Linked DNA regions of Mus musculus: region 2 is reported to be linked to region 1. Evidence: microRNA targets listed by miRTarBase, many of them from high-throughput screens and not tested one by one. Region 1 holds a microRNA gene; the other region holds the end of a gene's coding sequence.

Region 1 (4,152 bases):
TTAAAAAAAAAAAAGAGTACTGGCTGCTTTTCCAGAAGACTCAAGTTTGATTCCCAGCACCCATATGTGGGCTTATAACCATCTAACTCTAGTTCCAGGGAATCTGACACATTCCTCTGGCCTTTGAGATTATCAGCCATATACTTAAGCAAACACCCATACACATAAAAATAATAAATTTAATAAATACATTTAAGAAAATATTTAAACACAAAGTATCCTAGATTAGATAGATATTAACCTCAATTCAGCCAGCAGCTCTACAAAGCTTCTATGTTGCTTAAAATAAAGCCAATATTCTGAAAAATGTTTAATTAGTTTTCAAGACTTTTCATAAAAAATATTCAATAAATAGCCAGGCATGATGATACAACCTTTAATCTTAGCACTCAGAGGAAGGCAGGCAGATCTCTGAGTCTGAAGCAGCCTGCTCTACATAAAGAGAGTTCCAGATAAGGGGAGGGGAAGGAAGGGGGAGGGGAAGAGAGGGAGGGATGGGAAGGGAGGAGAGGAGAAAAAAATGAGGAGGAAAAGAGGGAGGGAGGGGGGAAAAGAAAGTCAATAAGTAATAAAAAATAACCACCCAAAACAAAGATCAGATACATCTGGCATTTTAGTTGCTCTGTGTTCTTCTAAAGATTTTTATTTTTTAAGTATGTATGTATGTATGTATGTATGTATGTATGTATGAATGAATGTATGTATGTATGTATGTATGTATGTATGTATGTATGTATGTATGTGTGTGTGTGTTTGTTCAAGTGCCTGTGAAGGCTTGAGTTGACAGATCCCTGCAGCAAGAATTGGTAGTTACAGATTGTGGTTAAGACAGGTGCTGGGATCAAAGTCCCGCCTAGAAAAGTACAAGTTCTTATCTGCTGAGTCATCTCTCCAGATACACTCTCTGTGCTCTAGTACACATAGAATTTTTACTTTTCCTATATGGGGAAAAAAAATCATGGAGCATCACTAGCACTTCTGTGGTAATTTAGCAGCCCATGATTCTCAGCTACTGAGTTTTGTTTTTCATCTTTTTCTCTGAAATATATGACTTTAGATGTATTTTCTACTATTACAGGCAAACAAGAAGGAATTTGCTTGTTTGATTTAGCTCTGCAGTAAAGGTTCAAATCTGAGACTGGTAAAGGAAGGAGAAAGCAACATATCCAACCAATACTGGAACAATGAACTCTGGTGTTCAAGTTCTGGCTATGGAACTCCGGGTAAGTCTCTGTTTCTTAAGGAAAACACGGTTGGAATTAAATATACAAATCCTACTACACATAAGTCCCCAGCATGTGTTATGGTCTTTCTTGTTTTTGTACATTAATAATTAAAGTATTACTACAAAATTGCTATATTGATGTTTTCAGAATGATAGCATTGAAAAATATTTCCACAGATATCCACTTTTAGTCAGCAATGTAAACTGCAGTCTCACAATCCTGCAGCTCATTTCTGCTTTATGCAAACTAACTTCACAGTGTAAGTACTGTTAACTTGAAATTTTGGGAAGAATGTGAGAGACCCAACAGCAGTGGTCCTTAGAATATGAGAGCAGGCCAAAGATGGGCAACCAAGCCAGCCTTAAGAGGACTCCATGGAACATTCAACGCTGTCGGTGAGTTTGGGATTCAAAAACAAAAAAACCACCGACCGTTGACTGTACCTTGGGATTCTTACAGACAACAAGTTTCCTGAAGCAAAGGAGTAGGCTGTACAGATATATCATGTGACAGACATCACAAGATACAGTCCTGTGGCCTCTTTTCTAAAGGGAACCAGCAAGTTTTTTTTTTAAGCTTCCATGTATTTATATTGTCTATTTTTTGTAATTTCTTGATAAATAAGTGTTTCATTTTAACAATTTATGGGAAGTGCCATCATAGTACCAAATGCACTCAAATATCTTCTAGAAATGTGTCATTCTAGTCAGAAATAGGGTGTATTAAAAATGTCTATTTACTGTAGGAAAAAAATCTAGTTAAGTCTTTTATTCTCATTTCTTCTACGTCCTTTCAAATTTTTGCTTTAGGGTCAAGAGATTTACTCAGCAAAAATACTCACAGAGTTACTCACTGTCTATACAAATCATATTGTGCCTCCAGTTTCAGTTACTGCGGTTAGGGATTTGACATCTCCATGAGAGAACCAGATACATTTCCATCTCCATGTGCTAATTTAAGGAATTCTGGGTCATCTCTGAGCCTCCGTATCCAAGTATGTTTTCTCAAATGTAGAATAGGAGAGGAGAGAACCTCAGAGTTTTAATTTAATGAGAAGATATATGAGGGTACTTTGAACAGTTTCTGGCTCACAGCAAATGTTTACTACAAAAATTTTTACTTAACTGCAATCATAATCTATACTGCTTTACCTTGAAAAGGGCACTTAACGTCTCAGCTTGAAACAAAAGATGAAGCAATGTCTCTGAGGGCTCCTTTACAGACATCAACATCCAAGTCTCAGCCCATGTGATCAGAGCTACTTACAAGGTTCTCACATAGTGCCTTCTTCCTCACAACTTTTCTGTCTTGAACAAGTTCTTGCTATACAGTCAAGGTGATCTATAATTATGAGTCCACAACCATACAGATGACTAGTTACTAACATACAACAGACTTCAAAGAACCATAGTGGGAAGAAGAGCCAGGAGATAGAAAAGACCAAGACAATTTCATCAAAAGGAAACATTGATGGCTGCACTCAACATTCATTGCTGTCGGTGGGTTTGAATGTCAACCAACTCACTGATCAATGAATGCAAACTGCGGGCCAAAAAACGCAAAGAAACAAAAGTACTCCCAGAGAGTCACCAGAGTACGGAAGTACTGCTCCAGGTGGGACCTCAATCTTTTATCTAAAGTCTCTTTAGTTTCTTTGCTTCTAATATGGAAGAAGCTCTATAATTCCTAGTATTTTTTATTTTCTTCTCAAATATTCCAAGTTTTGGGAAATTTATATTATCACAGGCAAAAGGATTAATATGCCTTGACATCATAATATTTAAAAATAATACTTAAATATACATAATTATTTTAAAATAAAAGTATATGAAAAGAATTTAAATCTATCCTCATCTCAAATACATTCCTTCTATGAAAACTACATAAAAACATCCATTTAATAGTATTACTCACACAACATAAAGAAAAATTTTATACCTTTGAAGACTTATCTACATGTATAAAAACAGAGGCAAAACTGTAATTCAGGGGAAGTTCAATGGCAACAAAAGGAACTCACTGCTCTTCAATTTACCTTTACACTCAGCTATATACTTTAAGCTTAACAAACCACATTTACTATTATTTTGGCTATTTGTTAATTGTTTTTGAGACATAGTCTTACATATCCTATGCTAGGTAGCTGAAAGTGGCCTTGAATTTCTGATCCTATGTTCTCCTAACTAGGATCACAAGTGTGTATCACCAAGCCTGGTATTGAAACCAAGGTTTTGTATGTGATAGGCAAGCAGTCTACTAATAACTGCAGCACCTGTACTTTATGTTAGTGTACATGTACATATTTTGGTGCATGTGTAAGCCAGGGTAGGTGTTAGGTGTCTTCCTTAATCACTCTCCACTTCATTGTCAAACCTGAGGCATGCCAGCAGGCAACCAAGTTCCAGGAGGCATCTGTCTCCACTTTCTCAAGTCTGTATGTTTCCATGGTGAACACTCACTGAAGAAGTCATCTCCCCATTGCCATCGATCCTTTCTCATTCTTTTGAATGACTGTATGTCTTCGTATGAATACTTTGGTTTTTATTGTTTAGACACATTAAAAAAAAAAAAAAAACCTCTCCTGGCCAAAACCATCTATTCTTACTTTCCCAAGATACGTTCTTATAACAAGAAAAACAGCCAAGTGAGACAGGAAACATTTTATGGTAACAAAAACTAAAGGAGAGTATCAATTCTCCAAATCCTATACTGTAAGATAAGCCACAAAATATTTCCTGCTAATGAAATAAAAACATGAGCCTTAGTTGTAAATTAATTATTATACAACTGAAGTCTAAGAGAAAGACAACAGAAGTGTCTTGTCAGTTTAGTGTTTCAAACTATCTTTGCATGGACAGGAAAGGAGAGAATACAGTTGTACAGAGACAAGAATCAAAATAACAAAAGAAAAGAATTCAGTTACAAG
Region 2 (4,000 bases), not on the chromosome of region 1:
ATGAGGCTATGCCAGTGCCTGGCAAATACAGAAGTGGATGCTCATAGTCATAAGATGGAACACAGGGCCCTCAATGGAGAAGCTAGAGAAAGCACCCAAGGAGCTGAAGGGTTCTGAAACCCTCTAAGTGGAACAATATGAACTAACCAGTGCCCCCAGAGCTCATGTTTCTAGCTGCATATGTAGCAGATGGCCTAGTCGGCCATCACTGGGAAGAGAGGCCCCTTGGAATTGCAAACTTTATATGCCCCAATACAGGGGAATGCCAGGGCCAAGAAGTGGGAGTGGGTGGGTAGGGGAGCAGGGTGGAGGGAGGGTATAGGGAACTTTCAGGATAGTATTTGAAATGTATATAAAGAAAATATCTAATAATAAATAAATAAATAAATAAATAAATAAATAAATAAAAAAGAAAGAAAACAGCTGAAAGTTTACTTGAAACCACTATTTCCCTTGTTTTCAAGATAGTTTCTCTATGTAACAGTCCTAGCTGCCCTGGAGTTTTGCAGACCAGGCTAGCCCCAAACTCACAAAGTTTCGCCTGCTCCTGCCTCTGGAGTACTTGGATAAAAGGCAAGTGCCACTCTGCAGGGGTTGGGTTGGTTTTCTGAAGCCAGGCTTTGTATAGTCTTGGTCTTGTATAGTCACAAGTTCTACAACTAGCTCTGTAGACCAGGTTGGGCACCACCTGCTTCTTACTCCTGAGTGCTAGGCTTAAAGGCATTTACCACCCCACTCCCTTTTCACACATACATCCCACACTTTTTTTTAAATGTGTATGGGTTTTACCTGAATGTGTGTATATGCACCATGTTAATTTTAATTTTATAAGTACTTTACCTATATGTACACCTGTTCACCATGTGCATACCCAAGGAGGCCAAAAGAGGTGTCAGATCCCCTGGATCTGGAATAGTTTGCCAAGTAGATGTTGGGAACCGAACCTGGGGCCTCCGGAAGTGCACCCAGTGCTACCAACTGCTATGCAATCTCTCCAGTTCCAAATATTTCCCTTTTATGTTTCTGAAAAAGCTGGAAGCCAAAGTTGTGGCTGAGTTTGTACACAATAGAAAACAGTTCTGTCTGCAAATACCTAAAAAAAAACCAAGTCCATATAAAGAATGTACTACATAGGCTGGAGTTCCAGCTCCATATTAATATACTTGCTGGATATGCATAATCCTCAGAATGGGACTCTGTTTCTCCTTAGTGGATTATTTACCACCTCCAACCCTCCCATCACAAAGAAAATAATGTTAATTCCTAGTATCAACTTAAGGAAACACTTCTGGTTGGACTGTTTTGAGCAATTCAAGAATAGGTTTCAATATAATGAGACAAACTACACCAAGCCATGTTAAGGGGAAATCATCCATTTTATTGTTTAAAGATCGCAAGACAACATCTGAATTTCTGGAGCACAATTTTAAATGCTTTACTTTTTCAATAAAGCAGAGTATAATAGGAAAAAAAAAACAAATCAGTTTCCAGTAATATCTATTACTCTATTCAGAATTAGGTCTTCCACAGATAGGTTACCTGGAAATAAAAGCCTGTTACAATAAGCAAAGCTTTAACCGCAGTGGCTACTTTTTGTGTCGGAAAAAAAGTTCATCCCTATAGGAGGAATGATGTGCTATGTAAATGGCCACAGATCTCAGCCTCAGCGGCACTCCAAGTCTATTATCCAATCCCACATTTAGTAGTTCAGTGAATTCTGAAAATCAGTTTACCTGTAACCATGCTGGCAATCTTTTAACTGATATTTATTCAGTTAAAAAATAAATTAGGAAATCTCTTAACTGATGTTCCTTGATTTACATTACTAAAGTTACACAGTTCACACAATGCAATTCTGCTATCAGAATTACATGAGACTTCTTGCTTAGGTTTTAATTAGCAGTAAGAATCACAAATTCAAGTTCTTAATTATCAATAATTTGTCAGCTAAGGTACATTCAGGCAATAGCTGCAACTACAGAATAGGTGCACTGCCTAGGTGCTTTGGAAAGACTTAATCTACAGCACTACTAACAGACAAGACTTATCTGTGAGTGGAGAGTCTAAGTGCAGTAGAGCAGTATAAACATACTCATATATTTAAGCCTCAAGCCCTCCACCCTTTACGGAAATGCAACTGTTTTCTACCATGAAGAACTCAAGCTCCGCGAGGGCCAATGTTTAATTTGTAGTCCAAACCAAGTGGTGGTACAATTCCCTACCAAGGCCGAATCCATAGAGTTTGAAGCTAAGTCCAGACATTCTAACACAGTCTAAAAATAAAATAACTGCCTGTATAGAGATGCTTCTTCAGAGCGGTGAACACCATTTAAGGTACTGGAGAGAACTGTAATTTACTAACCAAACATTTGAATACTTATATACTTACCTGGGATTTCATTTCTGCTGAAAGAAATGGGAAGAACAGGACTCACTTTAAAAAAAAAACAAACTTTAGAAAGGAAGGTAAAAATCTTATCACACTATTACTTTTGGAAGCAGCATAGGAGGGGCAGTCAAGGGCTGAAACACTGGTGAAACAGGTAAAACTTAGGCAGAAAAAAACCCTATATTATTATCAATAACAGTACCACAACTGTGACCTTCATGATTAATATTCACTCCTAAGAATTTTCATTTGGCACCAGATGGCATGTTCGAGAGAAACACCCTGGGATGTCTGAAAGCAGACATGGGTTTGTTAGCAGTCACAGGAGAATTTAACGGGAGCTGGGGTGTGTAAAACAGGCTGAAAAGTCTTAAGTCATCATCTAAACAAAGCACTGACAGTGCCAAGCATTAGGTCAGACACTAAAATGACTGATATAGGCTCATGTGGTTTATAAAACCTATAAAAAGACTACACCAGCAAGGTCCCTGTCACCCTGTCAGAGTTCAGACACTAAAACAGGAAGCAACATTTTAGTTTAAAACCTCAGAAGAATCAAGATCACTTCACATGAGTAAAAATACCTGAAAGCAAACATTTTTAAAAGCTCCAAAACCCAAAATATAAAGAAAAAAAAAAGGATCAGAAGACTTGATCAATCCACGGCATCACAAAACGGCTGGTTAATCTCTATCTCCCCTCCACATTAAGCATCCCATGGAAGACCAAGGGAGACCAGACCTTCCAGACCTGTGCACCACCTGTTTGCTGCAAAACTCTAAGAGATTCCTTGTGGAATAGCATTTCTTCTTTCTTGTCTCTCCCTATCATGCAGGAAGTAAGTCTGAATGTGCTATTCTATTATCATTATATATCATCCGTCTGCAACACAGAACTACACAGATACACACAAAGCATGTTATCTAGTTCCCTTCCCCCAGAAGGTTGAGGCTCAGGTATAGGGCAATTCTCCTGTGCGCAGTCTTTATTCAGGCTGACTCGGTGACTTCAACAGGCTTAATCATGTGGTCAGGTTTGTTGCCAGCTGCATAATGCTCCCACATCTGCAGATAAAGTCGCTCTAATTCCATTGTGTATTGTTTGGTGTTGAACAGAGGGCTAGATATTCTCTGTTTCCAGACTTTGCCACGAATTTTCTTCAGGCTAGGTGGTAAAAACAAAGAGAACCAAATTTACAAATCAGAAAACTCAGCACCAGACCGAATAAACACTTAGTCACTTCTGTGGCAAAATATGACCAAAGTTATACTTTTTCCAATTAGCCTGTCAACTTAACACAAACTAAAGTCATCTGGGAAGAGGGAGCCTCAAGTGAAAAACTACGTCCATCAAACTTGTCTGTGGGCATGTCTGTGGGACACTTTCTTGATTAATGAGGAATGACCCAGGCCAGTGTGGGCAGTGACAGCTCTAGGCAGGAGCTCCTTTGTTGTATTTTCTGCTTCAGTTCTTGCTTCCAGGTTCTTGCCTTGGCATGCCTTCATGGTGGGCTGTGATATGGATACCTAAGCCAAATAAAACCTTTCCTCTCCAAGTTTATTTTGGTCATGAGGCTTGTCACAGAATCAGCAATTTATTGAAAGATGGCTG

Evidence for each region. Region 1 holds the annotated microRNA mmu-miR-181a-5p (AACAUUCAACGCUGUCGGUGAGU, at 1,605-1,627, shown strand). A microRNA usually pairs through its seed, bases 2 to 8, with sites in the 3' UTR of a target mRNA and lowers its output. Matches are read on the target gene's strand: a 7mer-m8 pairs with bases 2 to 8, a 7mer-A1 pairs with bases 2 to 7 and ends in A, and an 8mer does both.
Region 2: miRTarBase lists Ogt as a target of mmu-miR-181a-5p. Seed matches in the 3' UTR shown: 8mer at 1,954-1,961.

What each region holds. Positions count from the first base shown.
Region 1 is chr2:38,851,137-38,855,288 of GRCm38, forward strand. Mir181a-2 (microRNA 181a-2) reads left to right here and starts at 1,599; the gene lies at 1,599-1,674. The region is part of intron 3 of Nr6a1 (nuclear receptor subfamily 6, group A, member 1); the gene reads right to left. Nr6a1os (a long non-coding RNA gene) reads left to right here. Exons shown (of 7, transcript XR_866167.2): 3 at 1,079-1,223. Mir181b-2 (microRNA 181b-2) reads left to right here and starts at 2,694; the gene lies at 2,694-2,782.
Region 2 is chrX:101,681,709-101,685,708 of GRCm38, reverse strand. It overlaps Ogt (O-linked N-acetylglucosamine (GlcNAc) transferase (UDP-N-acetylglucosamine:polypeptide-N-acetylglucosaminyl transferase)), which reads right to left. Exons shown (of 22, transcript NM_139144.4): 22 at 1,358-3,553. The coding sequence ends at 3,379. Among named protein-coding and RNA genes, the nearest start is that of Gm52429, 12 kb to the left of the region's middle.